Ovis aries: one gene and its partners. The protein of the gene in region 2 interacts with the protein of the main gene of each other region in a pairwise test. Links are inferred from orthologs where the notes say so. Each region holds a gene or a part of one and is shown on either strand. Other genes may lie near its edges. The genes, in order: ZNF277, NUTM1, SAMD4A, RIC8A, P4HA3, SH2D4A and MORN4.

The links.
Region 1: the proteins of NUTM1 (region 2) and ZNF277 interact in a two-hybrid assay, tested with the Homo sapiens proteins (2 studies listed by BioGRID). The two-hybrid records come from large-scale screens. The link is inferred for Ovis aries from reciprocal best matches to the Homo sapiens genes NUTM1 and ZNF277.
Region 3: the proteins of NUTM1 (region 2) and SAMD4A interact in binary tests that used the Homo sapiens proteins (3 or more experiments, as listed by UniProt). The two-hybrid records come from large-scale screens. The link is inferred for Ovis aries from reciprocal best matches to the Homo sapiens genes NUTM1 and SAMD4A.
Region 4: the proteins of NUTM1 (region 2) and RIC8A interact in binary tests that used the Homo sapiens proteins (3 or more experiments, as listed by UniProt). The link is inferred for Ovis aries from reciprocal best matches to the Homo sapiens genes NUTM1 and RIC8A.
Region 5: the proteins of NUTM1 (region 2) and P4HA3 interact in binary tests that used the Homo sapiens proteins (3 or more experiments, as listed by UniProt). The two-hybrid records come from large-scale screens. The link is inferred for Ovis aries from reciprocal best matches to the Homo sapiens genes NUTM1 and P4HA3.
Region 6: the proteins of NUTM1 (region 2) and SH2D4A interact in binary tests that used the Homo sapiens proteins (3 or more experiments, as listed by UniProt). The two-hybrid records come from large-scale screens. The link is inferred for Ovis aries from reciprocal best matches to the Homo sapiens genes NUTM1 and SH2D4A.
Region 7: the proteins of NUTM1 (region 2) and MORN4 interact in binary tests that used the Homo sapiens proteins (3 or more experiments, as listed by UniProt). The two-hybrid records come from large-scale screens. The link is inferred for Ovis aries from reciprocal best matches to the Homo sapiens genes NUTM1 and MORN4.

What each region holds. Positions count from the first base shown.
Region 1 is NC_056057.1:57,731,741-57,736,329, forward strand, and holds the start of ZNF277 (zinc finger protein 277), read right to left. Parts: upstream 2,978-4,589; 5' UTR 2,915-2,977; coding exon 2,824-2,914; intron 1-2,823. Other genes in the region: DOCK4 (dedicator of cytokinesis protein 4), read left to right, coding at 3,514-3,550. UniProt on the Homo sapiens protein: Probable transcription factor. Involved in modulation of cellular senescence; represses transcription of the tumor suppressor gene INK4A/ARF, perhaps acting via the Polycomb group (PcG) complex PRC1.
Region 2 is NC_056060.1:26,484,901-26,489,260, forward strand, and holds the start of NUTM1 (NUT family member 1), read right to left. Parts: upstream 2,925-4,360; 5' UTR 2,387-2,924; intron 2,303-2,386; 5' UTR 2,241-2,302; intron 1,338-2,240; 5' UTR 1,296-1,337; coding exon 1,157-1,295; intron 1-1,156. Other genes in the region: NOP10 (H/ACA ribonucleoprotein complex subunit 3), read left to right, coding at 3,012-3,065, 3,639-3,779. UniProt on the Homo sapiens protein: Plays a role in the regulation of proliferation. Regulates TERT expression by modulating SP1 binding to TERT promoter binding sites.
Region 3 is NC_056060.1:65,150,469-65,155,080, reverse strand, and holds the start of SAMD4A (protein Smaug homolog 1), read right to left. Parts: upstream 2,937-4,612; 5' UTR 2,735-2,936; intron 1,870-2,734; exon of another isoform or gene 1,654-1,869; intron 1,518-1,653; 5' UTR 1,079-1,517; coding exon 883-1,078; exon of another isoform or gene 1-882. UniProt on the Homo sapiens protein: Acts as a translational repressor of SRE-containing messengers.
Region 4 is NC_056074.1:47,475,093-47,479,350, forward strand, and holds the start of RIC8A (synembryn-A), read right to left. Parts: upstream 2,988-4,258; 5' UTR 2,921-2,987; coding exon 2,837-2,920; intron 2,544-2,836; coding exon 2,496-2,543; intron 2,411-2,495; coding exon 1,820-2,410; intron 1,339-1,819; coding exon 1,247-1,338; intron 777-1,246; coding exon 626-776; intron 1-625.
Region 5 is NC_056068.1:52,347,740-52,350,673, forward strand, and holds the end of P4HA3 (prolyl 4-hydroxylase subunit alpha-3), read right to left. Parts: intron 2,397-2,934; coding exon 2,300-2,396; intron 1,308-2,299; coding exon 1,237-1,307; coding exon of another isoform or gene 1,179-1,236; 3' UTR 692-1,178; downstream 1-691. UniProt on the Homo sapiens protein: Catalyzes the post-translational formation of 4-hydroxyproline in -Xaa-Pro-Gly- sequences in collagens and other proteins.
Region 6 is NC_056079.1:37,631,233-37,635,044, forward strand, and holds part of SH2D4A (SH2 domain-containing protein 4A), read right to left. Parts: intron 693-3,812; 5' UTR 498-692; coding exon 317-497; intron 1-316. UniProt on the Homo sapiens protein: Inhibits estrogen-induced cell proliferation by competing with PLCG for binding to ESR1, blocking the effect of estrogen on PLCG and repressing estrogen-induced proliferation. May play a role in T-cell development and function.
Region 7 is NC_056075.1:18,633,888-18,638,202, forward strand, and holds the start of MORN4 (MORN repeat-containing protein 4), read right to left. Parts: upstream 2,898-4,315; 5' UTR 2,744-2,897; intron 437-2,743; exon of another isoform or gene 305-436; intron 1-304. UniProt on the Homo sapiens protein: Plays a role in promoting axonal degeneration following neuronal injury by toxic insult or trauma.

The DNA of each region.
Region 1 (4,589 bases), on a different chromosome or scaffold from region 2:
AAGCTTACACTGAATGATCCTTTTTTATTCAAAAGAAATCAAAACCATATAGATGCATGTCATACATAAAACTTATTGTAAAGAATACTTACCAAACCCCCAAGAATTGTTACTTTGGGACTGAGACTGTGTGTGGTGCAAGAACTTTTACTTTTTTACCTTACACACCTCTGAATGGTTTGAACTCTTAATGATTAAATGTTTTATAATTTTAAAATGACTAATGTATTTAAAAGTCACACAATGCTTTTGAAAGGCATAGCCAATTTTCTTTTTCATGAGTTACTTGGTGAGATAAATTTACCAATGATTCCACCTTCAAATGTTAAACAAGTAGCCTTTTGGAACTTTGAGAATCTGGAAAATCTTTAGTATGTTACTATAAGATAAGAGTTGACTATGTGGCATATCCCAAAATGAACTGTTTAGGGTATGAATATAACAAAATATTTAAGAATGGAGCTTACTAAAAATTTCTCGAAAGAGGTACTGAAATAATTTCAGAAGTAGGGGTTTCACTGAAGTGGGAAGAAGTAGCACTAACTCTGTGCTAAGACAAAATTTATGACTAAAAGTCAATTTAACCATGAAAGCACAAAGCAAGAAATTAACAACAACAACAAAAAAACAATGACAAGGATAAAGAACCAAATTTAAGCCTCAAACCACATTTGTTATGTTAGGAAGTTAGACATGAGCAACAAGGGAGGCCTGGCTGAAAGGGATGCAAGCTGGAGCTCATAGATATGCTACAAAATAACCAGAGACTTTTCAACTCATGCACATGTGCCCTAGGCACACAGTGAGTGGATACAAAATAAACAAGGGGCTTCTCCGAGTAACCTTAGGCACTTAGGAGCCCAGTAAGGGCTCATGAACATTCTACATCTAATCATAACGGACTGAATTATGAGAAGACAGAAACAACATAGCCTGCTGTTACATAACTTACAATTGTCAATCAGCCTTGAGTATATGCCTATTTGCATTCCCTTTCATTGACTGGTGGTGGGTACAAGTTCTACTTTGCACACACCATAGGCAAAAGGAAGAAACTGGAAGTATGAAAGTGGGCTATCAAACAGGATCAACAGGAAGGAAGAGGAGAGCTCCCTTGGAGTCAGTCTGCTCCCATGTTTTAGGAGTGTCTGTGTAAAAAAAGATCAGTCTGCTTGAGCCAAACTGAACTGTAACTTGTCTGTTATTCTGTACCCTTTCATCTATCACTCTAAGTTTTTGGTGTAACAAGACAAGAAACTAGGAAGAGAAATAAACTGACCTAACAGAAAAAACATCAACAGACTTCCCTGGCAGTCCAGTGGATAAGACTCTGAAGAGGGCAGAGTTTCCACTGCAGGAGACCTAGACTGGGTCCCTGGTCAAGGAACTAAGCCCCTGCAAGCCCCCTGCAAGCTGCATGGTGTGGCCAAACAAAACAGAAATCAAAAGGAAAAAGACAACTAGCTGTGTTAACTTATGTATCAGCCCAAAAAAGAAGGGAGTAAGGTTGGTGATACACAGACTATAAGGATACAACTATGACAAACTAGACAGTGTATTAAAAAGCAGAGACATCACTTTACTGAAAAAGGTCTGTCTGTGGTTTTTCCAGTAGTCATGTATGGATGTGAGAGTTGGACCATAAAGAAGGCGGAGGGTCAAAGAATTGATACTTTCAAACAGAGGTACTGGAGAAGACCCTTGAGAGTCCCTTGGACTGCAAGGAGATCAAACCAGTCAATCCTAAAAGAAATCAACCTAAAATATTCATTGGAAGGACTGATGCTGAAGTTCCAATACTTTGGCCACCTGATGCAAAGAGTTGACCCACTGGAAAAGCCCCTAATGCTGGGAAAGGCCGAGGGCATGAGAAGAAGGGGGCAACAGAGTATGAGATGATTGGATGGCATCAATGACTCAATGGACATGTGTTTGAGCAAACTCAGGGAAACAGTGAAAGACAGGGAAGCCCGGAGTGCTGCAGTCCATGGGGATGCAAAGAGTCGGATAGGACTCATTGATAAATGGATAGATGATAGATGGATAGAACAACAACAAAAGAAAGGGGCTAGGGATTCTAAAGATAACCTCCTCTGCAGCTTTCAAAGTTTTATTTTTGCTCTCTATACTGGGTCAGAAGACAACCTGAAAGTGAAGCAAAGCCAAAGTAGCTGTGATGACTTTCTGTGAAGCCATGACAAGAATTACCATTTCCTTTCCTATTGCTCTAAGGACCCAGAGTTTGGGAAGATCTCCCAGGCTCTCTACATTCAATCCTGGAGAACGCCCGGGGCAGTTGACAGGGGAAGAAGCTGTGAGAGTCATACAGACTTTCCCTTCAGAGGCTGCTCCAGCCAACAACTGAGAAAAATCTGTAGAGTGACCAACCAGTTTGCAAATGGAAATCCGCTCGAACCCAAATAAAACCTATCTCTCGAGGCCAAACCAAGCAAACCGAGGCGAGGGTAGACTACTGGCGAGGAAAGAGGACAGCTAATTCCAGAGTTACACTCACACACGCGCAAACCTTGACCCACGCCCACTCGGCAGCGAAAGTAAAGGTGGGAGCTCCAAACGTAGGACAGAACCCAGGGAACTTCCCTGGCTGCGGATAAGGCCATTTCATCCCATTTTCTCTTCCCTCCTAGACAGTCTCCAGCAAGTAGCCTTCTCCCACCCCCTCCTGTCCCGCGGGGCTCCACCCGTGGCCCCTTCGCGCTCAAGTGGCCTTAGCGCTAAGGTCCGTCCAGCAGTCAGCTGTATTCCAGGTTGGAGAGAAACGAAGACAAAAAACCATTTGCACCTCAGAGGCACCGTACTCACCCTCATAACTGACACCTCTGGCTCCACCACGGTTGCCATCACTGTCCTCCTCCCCTTGGGTAGCAGCCCCCAGGGTCTTGGGAGCAGCCATTACTCGGCTGAGGGGGAAAAAAAAAAAAGAGGGCCGCAGACCAAGCGCGGGACCAATGGAAACGCGATTGGAAACGAATTCCCCACTGACGCGACTTTTCCTCCACGCCCACTCCGCGCCGTCACGATCTGGACCAATAGAACGTGGCGAGCGGGACGTAGTCCCGCCCCTAGCCGCTAACTCCCCACCTCCTTCCGGGATGGAGCTGTTGTAGAACTACAGTTCCCAGCGTGCTGCGGGGCGCTCGGCAGGGAGGGCTAGAAGAGGCGCTGACGGGCGGGGGTGCGCCGGAGAGTGCCCCGGCGTGTTCGCTTAGTTCAGTGAATCAGAACAATGACTGCGCCTCTGGGTTCCCGGGAGCGCGTCGGAGGACTCTGAGCAGCCACAGCCGGCAGAGCTGCGGGCGGCGCAGCCTCGGCCGCGCGGTGTCAACGCTGGGCTCGGGAGCCTCCAGCGCAGACCCTGCCCAGCGACCGCAGCCCGCGCGGAGCCGCGGGGCTCCAGCGCTGCAGCCACTACTCGGAAGCTGTGCATTGTTGTGAGCCGGAGAAGGGGCGCGGGGATTGCAAAGCCTGAAGACCCCGGACCCCTGTTTAGCCATGTGGATACCTACGGAGCACGAGAAATACGGCGTGGGTGAGTCTTCGCGGGGCGAACTTTTATTCTGCTCTGGTCCTAGCCCGACCGAGTGCGAATTTCGCGTCCTTGCCCCCGTGCCCCTCTCGCTCAGCCCGGCTGCAAATGCCTAATTCTGGCATCGCGCTGCGGGTTAGGGGCTTTGCTCAGCCACCTCCTGGCAGAGGGTTGCGCCTCGGGGTCTCGCCCCTCAACGCCGGATGGGAGCTCTCGGCATGGGTTCCCGGAGGGAGTGCCGGGACGGCTGAGGGGAGCGCGCGGCCAGCCCGCTGCTGCGGGCTCTGCCTGCGGAGTTTGGAGTGGCTACCGGGTGTGTGTGTGTCAAGTTGGAAGAGGAGAACGGACGGCTTTCCTCTCCCTCCTTCTCCTTTACCTTAAAGAAAGCAAGGGCTGCAACGACTTCCCAGGGTGGAGAGGGAGACAACAGTAGCGGAGAGAGAACATCCCCAAAACAGAAGGGAGGCGCAGAACCTTCCCTTTGCCTTCCACATTCCCGGAGTGCGGAATGTGGCACCGTCCTCAGAAGAGCCGCTCTGACAGTCCGGCCCGAGCCTTCCTCCTCCCTCCCATCCCGGGTTACCCGGTGTGTGTGTGCGCGCTCGGAGAGGCGGTGGGGCGGGGGTTAGTAAATTTCAACATCTGCGCCGCTCTGCTCTTTGGTCTTTGGAGGGAAACGGGTATTTCAGCAATGTTTTTGCTTCTGACCACCCTCTCTGCTCATGGTGGGGGTGGTGCTGGAGGACAGCTGTGGAGTGTTAATCGGGAGAGAGACTCCGAAAGCTTGGGTCTTCGAGGCAACGAGACAGCTTTTAGGAAAGATTACCCTGATACGGGTGTTAGGAGGAAAAGGAGCAGGGTAGCGCTCGCTGTTCTGTGTAAAGGTGAACAACAAAGGACATTAATATTGACGGATGAATACAGGAGTCTCCCTTCCTTTCCCTCCTCCCATTTCAGGCGGATTACAGTTCCCGTTTTTGTTGTTTGATTTCAGCTGGGTCGCCCCTTGACAGTTACTCCTTTTAGGTTGCGACTATTAAAA
Region 2 (4,360 bases):
GTTTCCAGAGCTTCAAGTAGATGCTAGACATACTATAATGTTTATCTGTGATCCTTCTGCTTGAAACTCCTAATGCCAGAAATTTAGGGTCCACTTTTGAAAGGCCCTGACCATGAAGTCTGAGACACAGTTCAGGGGCTATGTGGACTCTAGTCAAAGAGACCAAGGATAAATATATTAAAACGTGTACTTAATCAGGACATGTGTCTCCTAGGACTTTCAATAATAACAGATCATCTGCCTAATTTCAGGTTGCTCTCCTCCCCCTCTTAGATTATTCTGCTGGCAAATTAACAACGTTCAGCTTCTGCTGCTTCCTGACCACTGAAGGAGACAGGGAATACGAGCAGACTCTTCACCTCAGGCACAGAGCAGAGGACCAGGAATACTCCCTGAAGAACGGAACACAGTGAAATGGGTCTGAGGCCTGAGTTGCGCAAAAGGCAGAAAGTCAGAGCGTCTCAGGGAAGCCCCAGTCCTCATCTCTGCTAGAGTGACCCACCTCCCCTGACCCTGGGAAAGCAAGGAAAACTGCTCCCTGCACGAAAAGAGAAGCCCTCGCTGGGGCTGGAAGGAGACAGGAGGCTCTGAGCAGAGGCACTTACTGCACCTCCTCATCTAGCTTCTAGGAGGACAGTTCTCGACGGACTTGGCAACAGATGGCCCCACTGAACAGTTTTCCAGACAAGGCTTCCACTCCCTACACCCAGTAAAATTGAGAGCGGCCCTAGATCAGTTCTCTCAGGGCAAATTCTAGAGCAGCCTCCAATTGCCTAAAGAAGACACCAGAACTTGGGCCTTCCACTGGAACCCCCCTGTGTCCCCCATTCCACACACATCCCTGCCCCTGCCACACAAACACATGCTGAAGGTCACCCTCTTCCAGAGAAGCAAGTTGCTAACTACCATCCCTTCTCTCTACTCAGCACTTTCCTCAGAGGTGCTCTGATCTGCCACCTAGGAGGCCCCCTTCCTTCCCCAACCCCTAGTATTAACAGCACCATCTCCTCCCCCAGTGTGATGCCTCTGGTGGTGTCTGGTGTTCTCACATCCCTCTAGGTCAGCCCTGAGAGCTCGTCCCCAGGTAAAGTGTCAAGTTTTGAATCGCTAAAGAGGGAGCTGGTGGCAGAGGACCCTCCCCTACCGGCAGGCTCACCTCCATCTGAAGACATCGTCTCAGGTTTGGGCACTAACTGTGGCTGTCTGGAAGCCTCCAGAATGAGACAGGCAGGTCCAGGACCCAGAGAGTAAACTCCAGTCGAAACACAGGGATCCAAGGAAGGGAGGGTAAACATCAGATCAAAACAGAACTAGAATCTAGAACTCAAGGCATCATTCTACAGTGGGGGGAAGGGAGGGGGAAATGGGAAGTTAGGGAGATATTCCACAAAGGACTCTGGTATGTAGGCAGTAACCAGGAATGCCCTCCAAACCAGAGTATGGCGACACAATTGTGTATCTCTTCAGGACAACTTGCCAATTATTTCTCAGATTCCCAACCACGTAGTTTCACATCTTGGTTCCCTATACACTTCTTCACCAATATATCTAGTTTTGTGCCTTTCAATTCTACCCAGTTTTGTACCTGACTTCCTATTAACAGCAGACTGTGGCAAACTCTTGACAATTCAATGTTTGCTGTATTTTCTAAACCAAAATCAAAGCACATAGTCTATATATTTACGGATCAAGTGAACAGAATGTTTCAAATTAGGGTTGTCTCACAATATCAAGGGTGCTGATTTGCTGTATGTATATCATTTCCTTAGAAAGCTGTTTTGCAGTTCCCAAATAGACTATTACCATCACCTCTGCAGTCCACAAACAGCTCAGCCATACCCTGGGCTGAAAAGCTTCCCACTTAATCAAAAACTGCCACTCAGAGTAAAATTCCAAGACCCAAAAGTCTTTTTTGTTTGTTTGTTAAATTATTTTTGTGGTTTTAAATTTTGTTAAATAATTTTAATTTTTAAAATGGGTAGTACATCAGGACTGTTCAAAAGTCAGACTATTTAAAATGGAGTACACAGCAAGTCCACCCCCCGTCCTACTCCTTCTGGAACCAAGTTGAGCTCTTTATGCCGGAGGAAATCAGATTTATTCTGGATCCTCACTGAGATATTTTATACAACTACAAGCAAACACAAACTATACTTAAAAAAAAAAAAACCAACTTTAAGGTTTTTCTGGTTATAAAGCTGCATATATCTTCCAACGTTTTTCGCCATTATAAATCATACCGCAATGGTCACCTCGGTTAATGATATCTGGGTTCCAATTTTCATTTCTTTAAACCAGAATCCTATAAAGAGAATTTGTACGTTCTTTTAAAAATTCGCCATACCTCTAAGAGGCGCATCTTATCACGCTATTATTAGCTACTCACCACTACAGAGAGTTGAATTTGTGGCAGAGACCTGAGTTTGAATCTTGGGTCGACCACTAAAATATGCTTCACCGGTTTCGTAAAATAACTTCACGCTCTTTTCGCTGTGCAGAATATGGAATACCCATCGTGCATTTTTACCGCCAATGTTTGAAACAGGGCGAGAGAACCGGATGTAAAATAGGGGAAGGAAGAAAATCTTCTTTCTTTCCTAAGGTAAAGGAGGCTCTGGATCCTGGAGCCTTTAGTTCTGCAGGTACTAGAAACTCATTGCCTCTGAAATGGGTGTGCATCTTGAAATAAAAACAGGATAGTATTCAGTTATGTTTAATCTATATCCATCCCTACTCCCCTCTCTCCCTAGCAGTACCAGGCCCACAGTGGGCACACTGCACGTGTCGTACAACTCCTACAAGATTGCAACTGGGTTGCAACTGGTCACGTTCTGAGCTAGTGCGCCTCCTTCTGTCCGGCTGGAGAAAAGTCTAGATAAACTGGACTACAATTCCCGGCGTGCTTTCAGAGCGAGACTTCCGGCTGTACAGGAAGGAAATTGACCAACACGTGAGGCCTTCAGTTAGAGGCAGCTGCGGACAGAATTGGAACGTCCTGCTTTAGTGTGATCATGTTTCTCCAGTATTACCTCAACGAGCAAGGAGAGCGAGTCTACACGCTGAAGGTGAGAAGGGTAAACGGGCTGGATGTCAGCTTAGCGATGCATGTCATTGGAAGGAGCGGTCGGGAGAAGACAGTGAGTTGCCTAGCTGCTTGGGCGGGGGCGGGGGAGGGGGCGGGACTAGAAACTCCAGAAGCCGCGCGTGGTATTAATTAATGGAAGCAGAAATGCGTGGCTTCTAGATCTTACCGTCGCGTCTCCTGTTTTCATGTTTGCCGTTTTTGCGCGGCCCCTGATGTTGAAGCTCAAACTCCAATGCGTTGGCCACCTGATGCGAAGAGCTGACTCATTTGAAAAGAGCCTGATGCTGGGAAAGATTGAGGGCGGGAGGAGAAGGGGAAGACAGGATGAGATGGTTCATCACCGACTCCATGGACATGGGTTTGGGTAAACTCCGGCAGTTGGTGATGGACAGGGAGGCCTGGCGTACTGCGGTTCATGGGGTCGCAAAAAGTCGGACACGACTGAGCGACTGAACTGAACTCCCCATCCCAGCCTCCATCTCCCTTTTGAGGCCAGGGATTGCGTTTTCCCACCATTCCAGTGCTGAGATTATGTTCTTTCCTCCTCGAGCAGAAGCTTGATCCTATGGGACAACAGACGTGCTCGGCCCACCCTGCTCGATTCTCCCCAGACGACAAATACTCTCGACACCGAATCACCATCAAGAAACGCTTCAAGGTGCTCATGACCCAGCAGCCGCGCCCCGTCCTCTGAGGATGTCTTAACATTTCATGTGTCTTCTGCTGCCTGCCAGCACCCAAGAGACTTTCTGCAGCCAGGCTCTTCAGTCTGTGAGCCTGGAAGCTTGCTCCGACCCTTGCCCCTCGAGTCCGGTCTCATCTTTGCCTTCGATCATGCTTGTTGTGAAGCAGTCATGGTAGCATCCCCGTCCAAGGGAGATATCTGAATATTTTCGTACTTTGAATCACTGCCAGGTTATTAAAATGATTTCAAAGAGCTGTTATTTTGTATGTTGTGGGAAGAAAGGAGTGGTTTAAAAAAAAAAAAAAAAACGAGGGAAACGAGAGGGAAGAGTACCCCAGGGATACAAGACCACTTGGAAGAGAAACTTAGGCGACTGCTGTAGCAGTCGTGCTGTGCTGTGAGTCATAGCAGGGTGCTAGGGTAGGGGAAGAAAGCTTGAGAAAGACTTGTGCAACTGTTAGCATTAAGTAAGAAATACCCATGTTGTCAGTTAAGTAATTTTTTGTCCCTTGAAATGAAATTTCACTCAAAATGGAAGAGTTGCTTGAAAAATAATAGCAGCTATATGGGAGGAGGAAGATGTTGAATTG
Region 3 (4,612 bases), about 39 Mb from region 2:
CATCCCAAATTACAACCAATAGACCTTTCCCCAACCCCCACCCTCACCCCTTACCCCCAGCCCCGGATATAATTCCAGTCTGTCACCACCCATGCTAGCAAATAGCAAACTGCTGAATATATCTCAGTGTATTCACTTTCTGTACTAGTTGAGGTGTCTGTAAATACACTAGCAGGGTAATAGGAAACAATTCTGTTATGTTCAGTAAAGTTTCCTGACAAAAGCATTAAAGACACTGATTCATGCCTGCTCCCTATGAGACCCTTTCTATAAGATGCGTATCAATATAAATAAAGTCGTGATAGTTAAGTGTAAGCACGTAGTATACGAAATGCAAATATCATTTTAATAGTCTGTAGCGTCACCTACAAATTATTCTGAAAACAGAGCTCTAAAATTGGAATATCGGTGGAGAAAAAAAGAATGTAAAATTGGGTTTCATATATTCCTCATGTAGCCTAGTCAAAGCTCAGCTTCTGAAGGGCAGTCTCAGGCTTCTTCATGTGTTGCTGAAATCCAGAGAGCCACGTTGCCCAAAAGGAGGAAAGAAAAAAAGCCCAGAAAATCCAGACTCTACGTGACCTGACTTAATTATTTCCCAGGAAACTGCATGAGAGAAAAATCAATCATTCATGCTACCGTAGCTACCACACGGAATTAACTGAAGGAGTTGACAGTGAGCAAAAAAACCCGAAGCTGCCAGCGGAGGTAAGTGGGCGGCACGGCCTCGGGGGAGAGATGCCAAGGACCCGGGGGCCGCGGTGGTTCGGTCCCCAAGGACCGGCGATCTGGGGCGGGGCCAGGCCCGAGGCTGGGCAGCGGCGGTTGGGGGTGGGGAGGAGAACCGGGACCGCGGGACGGCGGCGGCGGCCGCGCACTTACCCGGACTGTTGGCCTCGCCTTCGAGGACGTGCAGCTCGGCGCAGTCGGCCAGCGAGTGCTCCAGGCAAAGCTGGAGGAAGCGGGCCTGGGTCTGGCTCACGCGCTTGAGCAGCGACAGCAGCGCAACAGTCTGCTCGCACTCGTTCCAGCCCTTAAACCAGCCCGCCAGCACCCCGACCTGGTCGCGAAACATCATGGTTAGGGGGCGGCCCTCAGTCTACAAAGCCCCCGGGGCGCCCCAGCCCGCCCCGCCCGCCCCAAAGTTTGGCGGAGCCGCAGCCCCGCGGCCGCCGGAGACGCGTTCCCGTTCCAAGGTGGCTCTGCTGCCCGGACGCTGCAGGTACTGCCTCGGCTCCTGCCTCTCTCGTCTGGTTTCAGTTACGTTCTGGTGGTTCTGGCTGATTTCCCCAGAGATGATGACAGACAGTAGCACGGAAATATTTCTTTTTTTAAAAAAATAACGATTAAAAAAAAAATTTTCCCCACAAGGCACACAAACTGAATGAAGAAGGCTCTCTTTCCCCCTCCCCTCTTCTCGCAGCTTCGGGATGGTGATTTCCGGCGTCCCGGGGTCTCTTCCCCGCTGGGCAGCAGCTCGGACCCTTCACACCCGCATTCCCGAGTAGCGATCACCACTGGAAGGAGAGAAAAGGCTGCAGTGAGACCTCGGCCAGCGAGGGAGTGCGCCGGTGAAGCTAGTGCATCTGAGGGGGCGGAGGGGGGCGCGCCGCGGGGTCTTAGTCTCCCAAATTCCGGCCGCCCCCTCCGCACCCGGATGCTGGAGAGGAGCTATTCCCGTTCTGGGAAAGGCAAGAAGCCTCCTTCCCAGGTGCGTGAGGAAGACCGCACGGCTTCCTGTTGCTGCTGCTGCTGCGAACGGCTAGTGCTCCCCACACACCCCGCCCGGGGTGGCCTCGGGGGCTGTGCCTGCAAACGCCCGCACCAGCAACAGATCTTCCTCGCGCAGAAAACTTGCACTGCGGCTGCGAAGGGGCGCGGGGGTGGGGGTGGGGGCTAATGCAAAGCAGAGGCGGAGGCGCGGCAGCCCGAGTTCCTTCCTCCTCCTCCTCTCCCTCCTCCTCCTCCGCCACCTCTTCCTCCTCCTCCTCTCGGAGAAGCAGCCGAACGGCTGCAGCTCCATCTACAGCAACAGCCAGCATCTCCACCGCCAGGCGCCCCTCTGGATTTAGGCCGTGAGCAGCCGCGGCAGCAGCTCGAGACAAAAATAAACTCTCCCCACCCAGAGCTCAGCGCCCAGCGGGCAGAGGCGCAGCCGGAGCCTCGGCTCCCGCGCGCCGCTCGGCTCCAGCCCACCCGGGAGGTCTCTGAGGGTCCGCTTCGCCCTAAGCGTTCAGATGTGTGCGTGTGTGTGCGTGCGCGCGTGTGTGTACTCGTGTGTGTGCTGTAGGCATCCTGCCCCAGCTCCCGCCGCCTACGGGCGGGTCCGGCCGGCCCAGCGCCTGGCCCGCGCGTCCCAGGCCGAAGTCGGCACGGCCACTGGCGCACGCCGAGCGCGGAGACAGTCGGTGCCCACAGCACTGCCCCCCGCGGCAGGCAGGGCGGTTCCGTGGGGACTGCGGCTCCGTGCCGCCGGCACACGCCCCCGAACGACCGCGAAGAAGAAAAGTTCGGTTTCGAGGGCTCCCCCAGTCCTAACCCTGTCCGGGTGGCCGCCAGCGGCGAAGAAGAGAGAGCCCAGCGACTCGGCCAGCCCTCGAGGGGCGGCTCGCTCTCAGCACCCCAGTTTCCCGGTTCCCAGAACTTCTCGAGCGGAGGCGGGGGAAGGCCCCCGGGAAGGGGACCCAGAGACCGCGGGCCCCTCGGCCTGGGGCGTAGGACAGAGTGCGCTCACCTCGGAGCGGCTCATCCCGGCGGCTCGGGGCCCCACGCGCGGGTCCGGGGCGGCTGTGGCTCTCAGCGAGGCTGGGGGCGCCCGGAGGGCGGGCTGCGGGCCATGCCGTCGGGGCGGGCGGCGCGGAGAGAGTGCGGCGCTGCGGGATCGGGCCGCCGCCGCCGCCGCTCCTGCCGCCTCCAGTGTAGGCTCGCGGAGGACTGAGCCGCCCGAGCCGGAGCTCCCCACATGCTACTGATTAACATACACCATTACATCATGGGCTTGGCAGGGAGCGCCCGAGCGGGGGGAGAGGAACCCGGGCGGCGGCGGCGGCGGCACGCGGGGGGAGTCGGGGGAGGATCCCCGGACCCGGCCGGCGGCGGGGGTGGGGGGAGGTGGATTCCTAAGTGGGGACCAGAAAAGGGGAGGGGAGCGGAGAGGGAGGAGCCAGATGGCGCAGAGGGGTCGGGTTGGAGGAACGGCGGGGCGGAGAGGGAAGAAGTTTGGGGAAGGGGAGGGGTCCAAGTGAATTCCGGCCCTCTGCTGCCTGCCTGTTCTGGAGGGGCCAGGGCGCTTAAGCAGCCGGACTGCGGACGGGAGGGGACCCGGAGGGTGCTTGAGCGGGGGCGGTGCTGCCACCGGCTGCTCGTCCTTGGGAATGTGGTGCGCGGACTCCGGTGACCCCTCGGCCCTACTGGGGCCCGAGGGTGGCAGAGACTTAGGGTCAAGGACGCTGCGGGTGTGGACAGGTTCAGGGGTCGCAGAAGCAAAAGGCAGAGGAGGCCGAGGGGTCGTATGCAGGGCTGGAAGTGCCTGGGCACCAGGCTCCGTGCTGCCCATGTCCTCTATGAGCGCGAGAAGTTCCTGGGCTGCTCACCCCTCGCCCGGGTCGGACCTCAGATGTCCTTTGCTCTTGTGGGCGGCCCCGGCCCCTTTGGGGCCTCGCTCTCCCCTGGGGAAGCCGCCCGACTTTGGGGGCCCGCTGGGAAACTATGCCTGGCGCGCTGGCTGCGGCTGCGGCTCGGGCTGCGGGCCTGGAGCGGAGAGGAGCTCCGCCGCGGGGGGCCAGGAGGCGGGCGAGGCCACCTGTCAGCGCGTCTGCGTCGTCGCAGGGCTGGGCAGCCTTCACCTGGCCCTGCAGAGTGCGCGAGGCCTGGGCCGAGGCTTCAGAGGTCCTCGCCGCGCGCGCCAGGGGGTGGGGTGCAATTGTGGGATGGGGGGTGCGGCGCTGAGGCCAGGCAGCACAGGGAGGTCTGGGAAAGTGGCCTCGGCTGGTCTCCAAGGTAGAGAACTGGTTAAAAATACCCTAAAACCTAAAAATCTCGGTGCCTTCTGATATTATTTGAATATGCACAAGAGGACTTGGTGACCAAATCCAGACTATTCCCCATGTTTTAAGTGAAAACACAGAGCCCTCGAACATTTCTCCAGCAACCTGTGGCTTTCTGTATGAGTACTTCTGAGACATTTGTGAAACGCATGCTTCAAATCCAGCCTCTTTACTCTCGCTAATACAGTATTTTTGAAGATAAAGTGTCTGAGATATTATCCACGGATTTAACACTTCCTTCTTTAACTCCAGCATATGTCCCTGGATTTTCAATCATTTCTTCCTTCCTCCCTCAAACCTAGTTTCTGCACCATTTAGTTCCTGTGAGACACGTGACAGGACCTAACCATCTGCTGGGGTATTGAAAGGTCTGTGGAGCTGCAGAAATTTAGGTGTTACCATTAAAATAGGGTATGTGAATAATTTTCTTAAGCTCATTATTAGCCAGCCAGGAAAGGTATCTGCATAATTTAATGAATATTTTACCCCGAAATCAAGAATTCTAGAGTCAATGGTTTAATTTTGTTTTGTCTTGTTATTACAGAGGCAGGAAATCTTGACTTCAT
Region 4 (4,258 bases), on a different chromosome or scaffold from region 2:
GTTTAAAGTCGTTAACCACCAGCACACAAGACCATTCCCAAAGCACTGAATCTTAGGCCTGCCGTGCTCCAGCCCGCACGACGCCGGCAAACCCCCAGAGAAGCTGGTCAGAGTGCCGGCCAGTCAGCATCCCAGGGTGCAGCTGCAGGGAGCGGGGGGCTGCGGGCTCTCAAGGGCCTGTGGGTCCTCCGAGCGAAACCATGGCACAGCTGACGCCCATCTCGAGGGCTGCTCGTGCACAAGGACATTCTGAGTCCAGGGGCACAGAGAGGGATGGGGAGCGTGGTGGCACTTCAAGGGGGTAGGGGTGGGAGGCTTCTCAGGACTCCTCAAGAGGATTCACAAAGATGTCTAAGAAATGAGTCCTTTGCCAGATTCTGAAAGCACTTTGCCCCTCATCCCTCTCTGTGCCCCTGGACTCAGACTGTCCCTGTGCACGAGCAGCCCTCGAGATGAAGCCCACAGACTTCTCAGGGAGGAAGATCCGGCTTGACCATGACGTGGGAGGAACCGCCCGAATCACACTGGGGAGGTGATCTCCCCTCACCAGTGTGGACAGCAAAAACACAGTGACCACAGTAGCTGCAAAAACCTGGGCCAAAGCCACAGCAGTCCCCCTGCCCACCTGATGAAGACGCTTCTCCATGAAGCTGAGGAGGACACGAATCACATCCATGTTCACCCCTAGGAACTCCAAGGAACCTCCGTGTGGCTCCAGGGCGAGGAGAACATCCAGACACTCGACAGGCAAGTTCCCCAGGAGGTTCACTGCGTGGCTGGGGGCAGATGGAAGGGGCACTTGGTGAATACCGACCCCTGCTGCCAGCTGCTGGGGCCGTAAATGCCGTGAACCAGTGTCTGGGGGCCCAAGCAGCAGAACAAGGTACCAGAGGCAAGAGTGCTACTTCCTGTAAATGCCCAACCCACCACGTATCTAGGTTGAGGCACCACAGCTAAAACTGAGAACCGGCCTAGGCATAGGCCACCAAGAAGGAAAGTGAGGAAGCACACCACCCTATCGATACCACAGCGCCCGCTGCCCCTACCCAAGGCCCCCTGGCACCGTCCTGCCTTGGACTCACACCTCCGATCCTAGACCATAAGTGCTGGAGCGCCCCAGAAACACACTTTTGTCTGGTTCCACCCAGAAGGATGAAGACTCTAAGGCTGGGAACCACCACAGCGACCTGTGAGCAAACCACCCCCATTCCTCCCCACCCCCCCGCATGACAGGCACCCCCCTCACCCGTGGAACTCCTCTGTGCGGTCTCCAGCAGCAGCAACCATCACACAGTGCCGCAGAAGGGTCCCCAAGTGCCGGTATAGAGCAGTGTCTTCCTGACCAGACAGACAGGAGTTCCTGTGAGAGCGCGCCCCACTGGCCCCACTGCTGCCAACTGAGAGTCTACCTTCTGGACACCCCTGCAAGACCTCATGCATTAACAACTATGCTTCTCTACTGCACACCCTGGTGCTTGTCCTCTCCCAGGAGACCTCAAGAGAACTCTCGGTTAAGAAAATCAATGGATCCCCTTGGCACACAGCTGCTCTGTGCTTCAGCCCCACTCAGTCTCACCACGAAGAATCTCACAGCCTCCCCTGCACACCACACAGCCCTCCAGCCAGGCTGCAAGAGCCAGTTATGCTCTCCAACTCCCTCAGAAAACTTCCTTGAGACCGGTCCAAGATAGGTGTTCCCTGCTTCTCTCGACTGGCTAAGCACACCTAATCCAGAAATTTGAAGGAACCCAGCAAAGCAGCATGTGCAGGAAATGTCCAAGCTGTTAAACCCCACCCACAGGTTGAGGTCCGCCCTCACCTCATCCACCTCCCTCTTGATGGAGTCGAAGGTGATGTTGAAAAGCACTTTGAGGATCTCCATGGCTCGCTCAGTCTCCTGGGGAGGCAGGAGCTCAGGGTGCCTCTCGCCCTCAGTCATTCCCAACGTCAGCTCCAGCGCCCTGGTCAGCAGGCGCACTCCCTGCAGCTCCTGAAACAGCTGCTGGCGCACGTCGGTGCGGAGTGCAGTTAGCAAGAACAGAAGACGCAAGTCAAAGAACTGGACGTCGTGCGGGAAGCTACTCCGGCTGTGCAGTCCGACGCGCTCTGCGAGCCTCACCACTAGCCCCGCCTCTGCTGCCAGGACCTGTGCCCCGGGGCTGCTTAGCACGAGGTTGCACAGGCACTTAAGGGACTCGAGTACGACATCCACGTTCAGCGGCTCAGGGACCGACCCTTGGGAGGCGGAGATGCCAGCATAGCAGGCAAGAGCCTGCAGGCTCCGGCGACTGGTGAAGGAGTCCAGGCAGCTGCGGTCCCTGGACAAGATGCGGATGCTCTGCAGCCAGATAACGCGGCGGGAGGGTGGCAGGCCCTGCTCCAGGACCGAGACAAGCAGCTTCGCCAGTCTCTGCGGGCAGGGAGAAGAGCCGTTCCACCAGGCCCTTCTACCTGGGCCACCCAATCACGCCCCTCCACCTCCGGTGAGCACCCACCTTCCTATCCTCCTGTTGCGCATCATCAAACGTGAAACTCTGGGAGTTCTGCAAAGAAACCCAGAGGCTAGAAGGCACAGGCCTACCGCGTCAGAACCCGGGTTCCGCGGATGGGGGCCTGAGGCCGAAGGCACCTCTATGAACAAATGGCGCCCCAGCCCCACACACCGGCACCCTCGCAACTCCTCAGAGAGTCGGTGCTCCTCCCCATCGCTCTCCCTTCCACCCTCAGCCCCTTGCCACGCTCACCGCTCTCGCCGCCCCTCCAGCCGGCCACGCGCGCGGGCCCCACCCGGCCCCACCTCCTCTCTGCACGTCCCAAGTCTACAACTCCCGCTCACCTCCCGGTTGTACGCGCGCAAAGCTTCCATAACCACGTCCTCCTCCCCCGTCTCCAAGGCATCCGCAACTGCACGGGGCTCCATGGCACCTCCAGGACCCGATGCCAGGAAGGCCGGAGGCTCCCGGCTTCGCGATTCCGGGCAAGCGTCTGCCCGCCCCGCCCAGGCTCGGCGCGCGGGGGAGGCCGGGACGGGGCGTGCGCGGCGCCGTGGGGCGGGGCCTGGGTTGCGCGCAGGGGAGGCCGGGACCGGGCGGGCGCCGAGCTCTCTGGGTTGCGTGGAGCCTTAAAGGGGCGGGGCCTGGGCTGCGCGCGTGGGAGGCCGGGACGGGGCGTGCGCGGCGCCGTGGGGCGGGGCCTGGGTTGCGCGCAGGGGAGGCCGGGACCCGGCGGGCGCAGAGCTCTCTGGTCTGTGTGGCGCCTTAAAGGGGCGAGGCCTGGAACAGCTGGATAGAACTTGAAGACTTTGCTGCCGAGTCAGCTTTGGCCTTAAACTCCGGCTCGGTGATCGTCCGACTTATGGGCCAGAATCGCCCTGAACCGAGCAGTGAGCCTCACTCCTTGGGCTAGGATTCCTGACAGGAGAGGGCCTCAGCCCCGCACCCCTCCATCACACGCACACCAACACCGCTCTTGATGCACAGAACGAATGAAACGTCCAGGGAAAAGTCGAGGTGGAAAGGAGTTTACAACCTCCGGACCACTTGGTTTCTAAACAGATGTTTGAGTGCCTACTGCACGCGAGGAGCCGGGATGCGGGTGAATAGAACCCACAGGTTCCTGCCTTCTTGGCGCTTATGTGCCGGATGTGAAGACTAAAACGGGCAAACAAGACGACGTTAGGCAGCTATAGTGCTGTGATTGAATAACAAAAGGGGCTTGATGGGCTGCAAGGAGATCTGAAGAAGTGCCAGTCAGTTTTTGCTGAGACCGGAGCCTAGGGAGTGAGCCAGGAAAGGCTCCGAAGGAAGGTTCTGCAAGGCAGGAGTGGCCAGTGCGAGGGTGGGAATGGCCGTGGAGGGAGAGAGAAACATCACTGTTGGAGCTGAGAGAAAAGAGAGACGGGGTCGGGGTGGGGGGAAGGTCAGGAGGAAGACAAAGTCTGACTGTGTGCGGTGACTTCCCTGCTGTGTAAGCAGGCACACCTGCTCGTCTGCTTGGGCTGTTTCCTTTTTTGAAAAGCAGAGACGATACAAGTTTCCATTTCAGTGGATTGTCGAGTACATGGCACAGCAATTGCTCCATTACGGGGGGTGGGTAACTTATAACCCATCCACCGGGCAAGAAGGCTTTGTTAAGCATCTACTTTGTCAGGCCCCTTGTCAGCACCGCGTGCAAGGTCAAAAAGCGCTGGCTCCTCCCGTACCCACTCCCCTCACGCTCCCACCCCTCTTCCTGGTTCCTTGTTTTCTTCAGAGGGCTT
Region 5 (2,934 bases), on a different chromosome or scaffold from region 2:
AGAATGTTCATTTTGCACAAGTGCTCAAATATCAGTCACTCATCACTGCAGCCTTAGCTCATGCCAGTCCTGCTGGGAAGTGCTGCTCCTCATTAGACTCTGCCTATAAGAATCCTACCCGTCCTCCAAAGCATAGCTCAAAGGAGGCCTTCTTACTCATTTATCCAAAAATATTTGCTGAATGCCTACTTATTTGAAACAGACCTTTTTCTGGGGGGTATACCAAGAGGTATAAGGAGTGCAAGCAGCTAGGCAAATAAACAAATACTGAAAAATGGAGTGAGGCATTTACAAAGCAGAGAGGGATCTTAAAGCACTCACCATGCAGAGCAGGCAACTGACCACAATTAAATGAATAAAGTAACTTTGAGAAAAGTGTTAGGAAGAAAATAAAGTTGGCCTATGTGAACAAAATGGCTAGAAGGATGGGTGTCAAAGAAGTTCTCTCTGAAGCGACACTGATTCAAGAGTGGAATGATGAGGAGGGCTCAGCCCCGGTGGCAGCAGTGAGTGCAAAGACCTGAAGAGTGGGACCAATGTCGGTTTTAAGAAATAGAATGCATCTGGAATGCACTGAGTGGGGAGTGGTGGGAGATGAGCCAAGATGAGATTATACATAAATAAAACATTCTGCTCTGCTGTTTTCAGAACATAAGAATGTTCATGGTTGTGAAAAATGATCTGTAAACACTTTTTATGACTATTAAAACATTTTAATGGCTGTATTTAAAAATCATATTTTTTAAAAAAGTTACTGTCTGCTATGAAAAAGTCATCACATGAGGTACACTCCTGATACAGAGACACCCCCTGCTCAGCCTTCAGCAGGAGTCAGTGGGCAGAAGGGCACGTGGGAGTCAGGCGTCGGCTGCAGGGGCCTCACTGCCACTCTGGGCCCCTGTGGTCAAGGCTCAAGTGGCGAAGGCCCCACCGACCAAACCCTGGAGACTGTTGATAGGCCCTGTTTCCAAAAGAGAGTCTGAGCTCCAGAAACTTCTCTCTCCAGCCTTCGGGCCCCCTCCTTTGTCTTGGTCATTCTGCTGTGAGTCATGGCTTGAGGAGAAACAATGTCCCTGCTAGAGACCACTTCCTTGTCTCCCATTTGCAAGGAACAGACAGTGCTGACAAGGGCCTCCTCCAGAAGCTTGCTCCCCTTTCTACTCTCTTACCCTAGCTTTTTACTTCCGGCTTCTTTGGAAAGCCGAAGGCCTCCTCCAGCTCCTCTCTGCCAACACTTTAGTCTTCAGGTCTTGAGCTGCAGGGTCTGCGGAATTCCTGTCCGTACTCGTGTATCCACTTGTTGGCCACTGAGGGAGAACGGGGAGGCAGAGGAGCAGGCTCAGCAGATCAGACAGAGGCGATACTCACAGGGCCATGAAATTCCATACCCCTGGGGACTCGCTTGCCTCACCTTGGTCCCAGGCCTGTCACAGACTACAAGATGTTGCTTCCAGTAGCAATAAAGAGCAAGAAGGGCAGTGGTCCCTGGAAAAAATCCCCACAGGTCCTATCTACTAGAGACTTAATTTTCAAACCCATGGGTACTGTGGTCATTTCCCCTTCATGTAGCTCCTGAAAGCCCCTCCTCCCACAGGGTACCATTTCAGGGTAGTGAGAGAAAAGGCATGGACCCTCCCTGGTCAGGTCCACCTCAGCACAAGAGTCCCTCTTCTACTGTTTCTGTCTTAAGAGCTAAGTTCTCGTGGACACATGTATGATGTGCGTGTGTCCCTTACTTATCTTTCTTTGACCTCTCCTTATGGGAAAGCACCTGATGGTTTTCTCCTTGGAACAGAGGAGTGGGACTTTGCACTGATTCTTCTTTAGCTGTCCTGAGGAATCAGGCCTGTCTGGTCAGGCCAGTCAACTTTTACTGACACTGGCTATAGGACAGAAGCCTCCCCTTTATGGGTTCCTAAGGTACTGGTGGCCACTAGCCCAGAATCTGATCACCTCAGTATAATGTGACATTGCTATGAAGCTTTTTTTCCCCTAATTTTGCTATTTTCCATTTAATTTTTTTAAAGTTAATTTGTTGTTTTTTCATTTTTATTCAGTTCAAGAAATTTTCTTCTTTATTTCTTTTTGCCACACAGTATGTGGGATCTTAGTTCCCAGACCAGGGATCAAATCCAGGGCCCCTGCAATGGAAGCTCAGAGTTTTAACCACTGGGCCACCAGGGAAGTCCCTGTTACGAAGCTTTTGGAATGACAGGCTATGTTATGTTCTATCCAACCCCGATTTCACTTTCCCCTGAACCCCTCACCCCTTTCCCATGCCCAGAAAGGCAGGCCTTACCCCATTTATCTCCTACCAGGACAGGGCAGGCAGCATGAAGTGTGTCACCATCCCCTTCACCACTCCTGTGCAGGTTCCACCAAAATAGAGCTGCATTCTGAAAGAAGCAGACCCCGCCCCAGGCAAGGTCAGCCCAGAGTCTCAGTGCTAGGGAAGCACCTGACTGAGGACAAATGCATACATGTCATTAACCAAGAAAACCGTCCATGCAGATGGGGGCAAGGAATACATAAAATGGCACAAAATGGTAGACAAGTTGCCATTGACTCATTCACTGATGCCTTACTGACAGGGCCCTGCCCTTCTCCAGACCCTGTGGATGCAGAGACAAATCATGATCAATTCTGCTCTCAGGGAGCTCATAGTCTCGTGGGAGAGAGACATAAAAACAAACCAGGAGGAGACTGACAGGTGTCAGGGGAAAGGGGAGCACAGGGTGTCACGGGATCACTGAGGCCAGGCACTCAACAAAAAGCACAAGGGGGAGCAAAATATTCCTCACACAACTAAGAACTTCATTCTGATGCTTAGCCTTTCTTAGGCACTTCCTAATAACACCCCCAGGAAGCAGGCATCATTGTCATTTCCACCTTAGCAGAAAGGAAGTTGAGGCTTAGGGGCTTTAAATAATGTAA
Region 6 (3,812 bases), on a different chromosome or scaffold from region 2:
GCCCCTCGAGTTCAGCTCCACGTGACTTTTTACTGCAGCTTAAGGTCAGTCCGGTTTCAAGAAAGACATCTGCTCTCAGCCTCACCACTCCAGAGTATTGCTGCTTGTGTGTGTGTGTGTGTGTGTGTGTGTGTGCGCGCGCACGCACGCGCGTGCTTCAGGCTAATCAACTGCACCATGAAAAGCTCAGTAACACTGAGGGTCTGCCTGCCAAACCAGACCTCAGACGCGGCTAGCTGCTGACCAGTGTGAGCCATGCAAACAAGCAGGGAGGCCGCCCGCCGCGGAGGCTCCGGGAGGAGTGAGCTCCGCTTACCTGTCTTCGGCCTGGGTTTCACTGGCAGGGACTCCTGTTTTTCCATCGCTGCTTCTCTTTCTTTCCAGCGGCGGACCTGCTCCTCCCTCATCTTGAAGAACAGGATCTGTTTCTGTTCCTCGTTTAGCTCTGCCAGCAGATCAGGATCTATGTACATCTCCGACAGGATCTGTTTCAGCATCTTTGCGGGGCTGGAGTCTTTTGCACCTGAGGCAAAAGTTCTTGAGAACGGCTTCCAGGGCTGCCTCCCCTGGGCTGGCACGGGGGGGCACCCACAGACCTTCCCAGACGCTCGTGGGGCTGGGACGGCGGCAGTTCAGCGAACTGGCTCTGGGTTCCCACACCGGGCCCCCTGTCCAAAACGCCACTCATGAACCTGCAAAGAGCAACCGCCAAGATGCAACTGTGTTAGAAGGTACAAAGGCCAGGACGGGCTTAGGAGCAAGCTTGGCAGAAACACAGATCCGCCTTTATTTCAGGCAAGCTTTGTTAAGAGTTTTGTGTAACCTGTATCCTGTAATTTCCAAAGATACTTTAACAAAAAAACAAAAAAATAAACCCTAACTTTTTACCGGTCACTCTCAGGGAAACAAAAAATTAACAGAGGCTTGGCTGTCTCCCAACTAAGCAAACATGCGATTACTTCCGAGCTCAACAAACCACCACGTCCACAGCTAAAAACAGTTAAAGAGACAAAGGCAAGGATGAAATTAAAAGCCTCTCTCCAAACAACGTACTTCAAAAGCAAACACTGTTTTTGAGATTTCAGAGAATTACCCACCCAAACCCAAGCCAGGCTTAAGGAAGAAATAAAGAAGAAATAAAAATTAGACCATAATGCAATTTTCCCATTTTCCCTTACAAGTGGCTGTTAATACAAACAATTATGCGCTGTCATCTTCACAGATGGACAGTTCGGTGTTCAGACAACTCACCAGAACCACAGAAACCGTGCAGAGCAGGACAGGGCACTCACATGCATTTTGGAAGGGCACCAGGGTTTAGGCGTGCCTCTTCCAGATACCCTAATTTCACAGGGTCTAAATTTACAGACCAGATAAACTGGGGAGCCATGAAATTAAGAGACACTTGCTCCTTAGAAGAAAAGCTATGCCCAAGCTAGACAGCATATTAAAGAGCAGAGACATTACTTTGCCAACAAAGGTCCGTCTAGTCAAGGCTATGGTTTTTCCAGTGGTCATGTATGGATTTGAGAGTTGGGCTGTGAAAAAAGCTGAGCACCAAAGAATTGACGCTTTTGAACTGCGGTGTCGGAGAAGACTCTTGAGAGTCCCTTGGACTGCAAGGAGATCCAACAAGTCCATCCTAAAGGAGATCAGTCCTGGGTGTTCACTGGAAGAACTGATGCTGAAGCTGAAACTCCAATACTTTGGCCATCTGATATGAATAACTGACTTCTTGAAAAAGACCCTGATGCTGGGAAAGATTGAAGGCAGGAGGAGAAGGGGATGACAGAGGATGAGATGGTTGGATGGCATCACCGACTGGACAGACATGAGTTTGGGTAAACTCTGGGAGCTGGTGATGGACAGGGAGGCCTGGCGTGCTGCGGTCCATGGGGTCGCAAAGGTCAAACACGACTGAGCAACTGAACTGAACTGAACTGAAGGGGTGACCAGGCTCATCACAAAGGGTCCTCGCTCTGTAAGACAGTTTCTCAGATGGAGGAGCCTTGGGCCTGAGCACACAGGTGACTTCACAGGGGCACCTACTCCTCAGCAGACGTGTTCTACTTCACACGTTTCCATTTGGTCTATTTTCAAAAAATATAGCAAACCTTCACATTTTTGTCATTAGGAGAAAATGATGTACACATTTCCATTCTGGGGGGAAAAACAGAATGCTTATTTTGTTCCAATATAATAAGAAATCCACAAAAAGCTTATTTATTTCAACTCTGCAGGATCACCTATGTTCTAAGAAACAGACTAACAATCCTACCATCTGGCCACGCCCTCTCAAATATCTTCTTTCTCCAAACTAACTTCAAAGGCTCTTAAGCTTCAGACCAGTCGCTCAGCCACACGGCGGCCCTCCCAGGCCCATGGCCAGTCACCCCCGGCCCTTCTCCTGGTCACCTCCAGGCAGGCTGCCACACTCCTCTCACGCCCGGGAGGCTCCTGCAGCTTCGTTCCTGCTCCACCTCCTTGCGCAGCTGTTTCTCCATTTACACCAGCTTTTTCAGAGAAGCACAAGCAACAGCCCAACAGCCAGGGTACCCAGGGTGCCCTGAGTACCAACAACATGTAGTTCCGTTCACTAACATGCCCTGTGTAGCAGGGACCTTTACTGAGGCTACCACGACCCTCGCCATCTGCGTCCTGCCATCTGTAGCATTCAGTTACCCGGGGCTCAAATGGAACACAGTGTTTAGAGAAATTTTTAAAAGAATTAAAGGCACCGTCCGACTCTAACTCAGTCAGGCACGCCTGCCCCAGGCTGCCTGGCTAGCTTTGTATTTTGCTTTGAGGCGACCCTCAAAGGCTCTAACAGCCACACCACTGATGTCCTGCGATGCGGTCCTGACTCTGCGGTCTCCAGGAGAGGGGCACAACTAAATCTACACTTGACGGGGGTTTCCAGAGGCTGAGCTCTTGTCTGTAGGCGTCAGAACAGCAGGAAGAAGGTAAGTCCTCCACTCACTGGACTCCAGTGCTGGAGACCAAGTGCTAAGAAGCCAAAGTGAATGAGTCCTTGACATTCCGAAGGAACACACCTCAACATAATAAAAGCTATAGATGACATTCCGGTAAAGGTCCTTACGCCGGGACACTTCTTGACCAGGGGTTGACTTTCACAGAAATAAAACACAGGGGAGAGGAGCTGCCCAGGGAAGTTGGAAGCTTCCGCTCTATCCCCCAGTCTGGAATTGGGCGACTCCCAGCAACAGGGACAGGGCAGGCAGCACCTAAACAGGAAAACCCTGAAAGGGCTGAATCCGCTCTCCCCTCCCCACCTGGCGCACTCCTGGTCTCAGACGCTGACCCCAGCCGCAGCCACGACCGACCATGAGCGGTGAAGGCAGTAACTAACGAATCTTCATCCCAACCTTGGAGTTCAGCCCCTTACCATCCCCATTTCCTACAAGACGATGGAGGGGGTGTGCCCGGCCGTCTGGCTCCAAGTCAGGGGCACGGAGTTTTCCGGGAGCCCAGAATCAGGCTTCCCTGGTAGCTCAACTGGTAAAGACCCCTCCTGCAATGCACGAGACCCTGGTTCGATTCTTGTGTCGGGAAGATCCCCTGAAAAAGGGACAGGCTACCCACTCCAGTATTCTTGGGCTTCCTTTTTGGCTCAGCTGGTAAAGACTTCACCTGCAACGCGGGATACCTGGGTTTGATCCCTGAGTTGGAAAGATACCCTGGAGAAAGGAAAGGCTACCTACTCCAGTATTCTGGTCTGGAGAATTCCATGGACTGTATAATCCGCAGGGTCGCAAAGAGTCAGACACGACTGAGCGACTTTAACTTTCACC
Region 7 (4,315 bases), on a different chromosome or scaffold from region 2:
TCCCACCAGTAGAAGGAACCTGAAAGGGAATAATGCTTTTCTAAAACTTGAGGATTATCTAGGGACCAAGTACTAGCCAGCCCTTCCAATTGTAAACCTAGCCACTCTTTCAGTATGTTGTTAGCTTTGGGGCAATATATCCTAAACATTTCAAAGAAGCCAAAGAAATGAAAGATTAGCTTCTCATTACCAAATAGAATGGACTGCATTTTCCGAAGATATTTGCGACCATATTTCCTGTCTTACACGTTCTTTTACAATTTGACCTTGCCACTGTCCCATCAAAAACTTGTGTCTAACTCACCTATGAATCTGGCCAGGCTTGTGATTGCTTCAACCAATAGAAGGTGATGGAAGTGATGATGTGTTCTGAGGTTAGATCATAAAAGGTGATGCAGTGTCCATCTTGCTCACTGGTACACTTGAGCTCTGAGACCTGAGACATCACAGGAGTAGTTTGATTATCCTGAGGCTACCATGCTCAGAGGCTGGGCTACATAGGTCACATGCGCTGGTGCTTTCAGTCAGCAGTCCTCATCTCTGAACCACCCTAGCCTAGGCACCAGGAGTGAGTAAAGGAGCTTTCAGAATGATTCCAGCTCCCAGCTATTGAACCTGCATCTCAGCTGAGGTATCATGGAACAGAGTGAGGTCATTGCCATGATGCCCTCTCCGAATTCCTGACTCACAGGATCTGTGAGCATCATATGGCAGGTTTTAAGCAGCTAATTTTGGGGTAATTTGTTATACAGCAATTGTAACTGAAACATCATCTCTCAACCTAACCCTGCCACTGTCCTTTTCCATTTGTTTTTAATGTAGTATGTCTGCAGGTACTACAAATTCTCATTCCTTTTTGTTTTAGGGTGATAGAGCAAACTTCAATAGTTGCTTGTCAAAATGATGTCAGTTCCCAAGAACACAATCAGAAGTGCTAATTAAAGGAACCAGATGTACACTCCATTCCTCTCAGGCCATGGTTGAACACACTCGAATAGAAACTTCTACATGTGTCCAAATAATTGATATTGTCACTGCCTGAGTGTCAGGGTTTTCATTTATGACTTCTGTAATTAGCCATGCTAATTAATAGCTGTAGAGCTACTGACCCAAAAAGGAACTTTATCAGTAATCATAGTTATTGAGACAAATCTAGTTTAATGAAGTATAGCCAGTGCTAATATAGACTAAAAATAAAACCCAATACTTTAATAAAGGATGCAAATCAGTATTTGTATCAGCTATTCAAAAAATATTTTTAAAGAGAACAGATGGCCTAGGAGTTTAGGCTTCAGATACATATGTGGAATCTAGCCAGAAAGTCAAGATAAGTCATCCTTCTTAACAGATGCCCACCCTTTCTCTCTTGATAGATAGGTTGCAAAGGATCAAACCAAACATTTACCTAAAAGAAAATGACTATTTTTACCCCATAAACCAACACACTGTTAGTCTACACAATACACTATATCCTCACTATCTTTATTTTCTCCTGCCCCAAACATTTCCAAATAGAACTAGAAGACAGGGATGAAAACTTTTGTTTCCATTTCATTTGTCTTTTTATAAAATTTCAGAAATCAAACTGATCAAAAATATTTATGGATCCACAGTAATTAACATATATCCAAATCCAGAGGATTGAAAAAAAAAAAACTAAAAGAAAGCAGATTTTCAGTTTAAGAATATTTTTTGAGGCATCCACTTGAACTATCCACATATATTAATAAGCATCACATGGTTCCCCTAAAGCCACCCTCCCCAGGGTATGACAGTCTTGTCAAAGTTCTTTGAGCTGTAAGGAAAGCAGTTCTTAGGCTTTTAGAATTCCAAAAAGAAGAAAATGAAGGCTTTGATGAACAAAGATCAGGCTTGTAAGAGACCTAGAACAAAAAGTCAAATGTTCTTTTTAAAGTATTTTAAGTGAACTTAAAATAATTTTCTCTTTTAAGTCTGTAAATCTCTTTCACTTTAACAATTCTTCCTTCCACAGGAAAAATAAACAAATGTATCACTATTAGATAAAGGTCTTATTTAGGAAGACTGTGAGACAGTTAAGATTGGAGAAAGTGGAAAGAAAATCCTGACGCCAGAAAGAAGATCAAAACAAAAAACCAGAGGCCTTGGGGCGATGGGGACTGCCAGGATACTATTCTAGTCCATGAGAAAGTAAAATGCCTGGGCTGGGTTCTAATATAGTCGAGTGACTTCCGCTGGTACCTAAGCAGTTTGGAGATGCTAGACGTAGGAATGCCACCATCAGCTAATTTAAGCATCCCCTTTCCCAAGACTCACTGAGTGTATGCGGGACGCCTCTCCACCAAAGTGTGACTGGCGAACCCTGAGCAAACAAAGCCCTAGACCGCAAGAAGGCAACTCTTCTCGTCGACCTCCGCATTTCTTCTCCCACCGGTCCTAGCCTTTCAGCACAGCTCCTTCCCTCCACCCGGGGTCAGCTCTTCCACGCGGGCGGGGTCTTCCGCTCACACAGGTCTGCCATCCGCTCTTCACAAAGCCCCCACCCACCCCTCTCACCATTCCGGGCGCCATGGGTTCCCCTCGGGCCTCAGACCCCGCAGCAGAGACGGAAGCCTGGGTTTTGGGACTCCCGCGGGTGCCACCCCCCCACCTCCCCGCCGATGGAGCCGCGCTCCTCAGCCCCTGTCATTTCGGGCTGGGCTCCCCAGTCCCTTTTGCCCGATCACACTCTCCCGGCCCCCTCCCACCCGTGCTGCCAGTCAACCTGGGCCGGGGCTTCAAGGATGATCGTCTCACCCCGACGCCGGGCTGCACCGGCCCGGACCTCCGTTCCGCCCAGCTCGTCCTTGCCACCTGCCTCTCCGCGGCTACCTCCAGTGCCTGCCCCACTTGACGCCGCCATCCTGGGTAGCCACACTGGGAACAATTCCCGCAGTCCATTGGCTGTTACCTAGGCAACCGGTAGCAACGCCACTCCCCATTGGGCCAGTCCCGGGCTCTGCGCCATCTTTGTGCGGGGCAGTGTCTCAGGCTCCCTGCGCTCAATACCCGAAAGAGGGGTGGGGCTGAACTATAGTCACGTCTCAGCAGCCGGGAGAACTCAGAACTCACCTACCAGGGGTAGCCTAGCTAACTAGCCAAACCAAACCAAACCAAACCAAACCTGAGTCAGAAGTAGCAATGACCACCTACACCAGCGTCTCCTATCCTGCTCAGATCTCCGCAGTTGTCAAAGGCACCCATGAGGAGCTAAAGGACAGGAACCCCAAACTGACTTTTGAGATTGCGACTTTGTAAATTGTAAAGAGCAAGACAGGACAACTGCAGTTTCATAAGTATCCGTCCGCATTGTGATATCAGGGCAATTTTACATTCACTGTATGGATTTGTGTTGTCGTTGTCATTACTCATACCATTTATATTTAAAATATAGTGTCAAGATTGGAACAAATCCTCCCAAATATCATGCACACCAACCGACTTACCCATATTTATTTACTGAACAATGTGAAAGCTGCATGATGCTAGGTTCTGCCAGGTTAGAATAGACATGATCACGGCTCTCATAGGATTTACTGACTCCATGTGGAGAAGAAAAGATTCGTGCAAGTACAAAAATCCAAGACTATTTAATTATTAAGAGAGGGCAAGCACGTGAACAGAGTAAGTAGATTTCTCCTCTGAATTTGGATTTCCTAATCTGTAGAATAGGATGGTAATAGTAATAATGATAAAGTCTCCCCAGAACTTGTACGAAAATACAATATAAAATTCTCTGTACTGTGTCTGACCTTGTAGGAGTCTGACACTGCAAGTGTTCAGTAAACTGTAGATTTAAATGATAGTGGTGATAGTTACACAACATTGTGAATGTATTTACTGTCACTGAATTAGACACTTGTGAACAGTTAAAATGATAAATATTACATATATTTTAACCACAGTAAAAAAAATATGGTTTCTTGATCATAGTGGTGACACAGTCAAACCAGTGTTTTAAGAAAATTAATCTGTCACTGACACCAAAGATGATCAGAGAGAGAGTGAAAGCAGAGGAACACACTCAGAACCTCTTGACAGTTGTGGGGCGCCGGACTGAGCATCCAGTGCAATACAGCAGTTAACTGCTGGCCATCTGTTTTGCTGCAGTCCATGGGGTCGCAAAGAGTTGGACACGACTACGTGACTGAACTGGTCTGCTTTGCACATGCTGGTGTGTATGTGTCAGTGCTGCTCTCTTGATTTGTCCTGCCCTTTCCTCCCCCACCTCCTGTGTCCACTATATGTGAAATAGATAGCCAATGGGAATTTGCTGCATGTCTCAGGAAACTCAAAC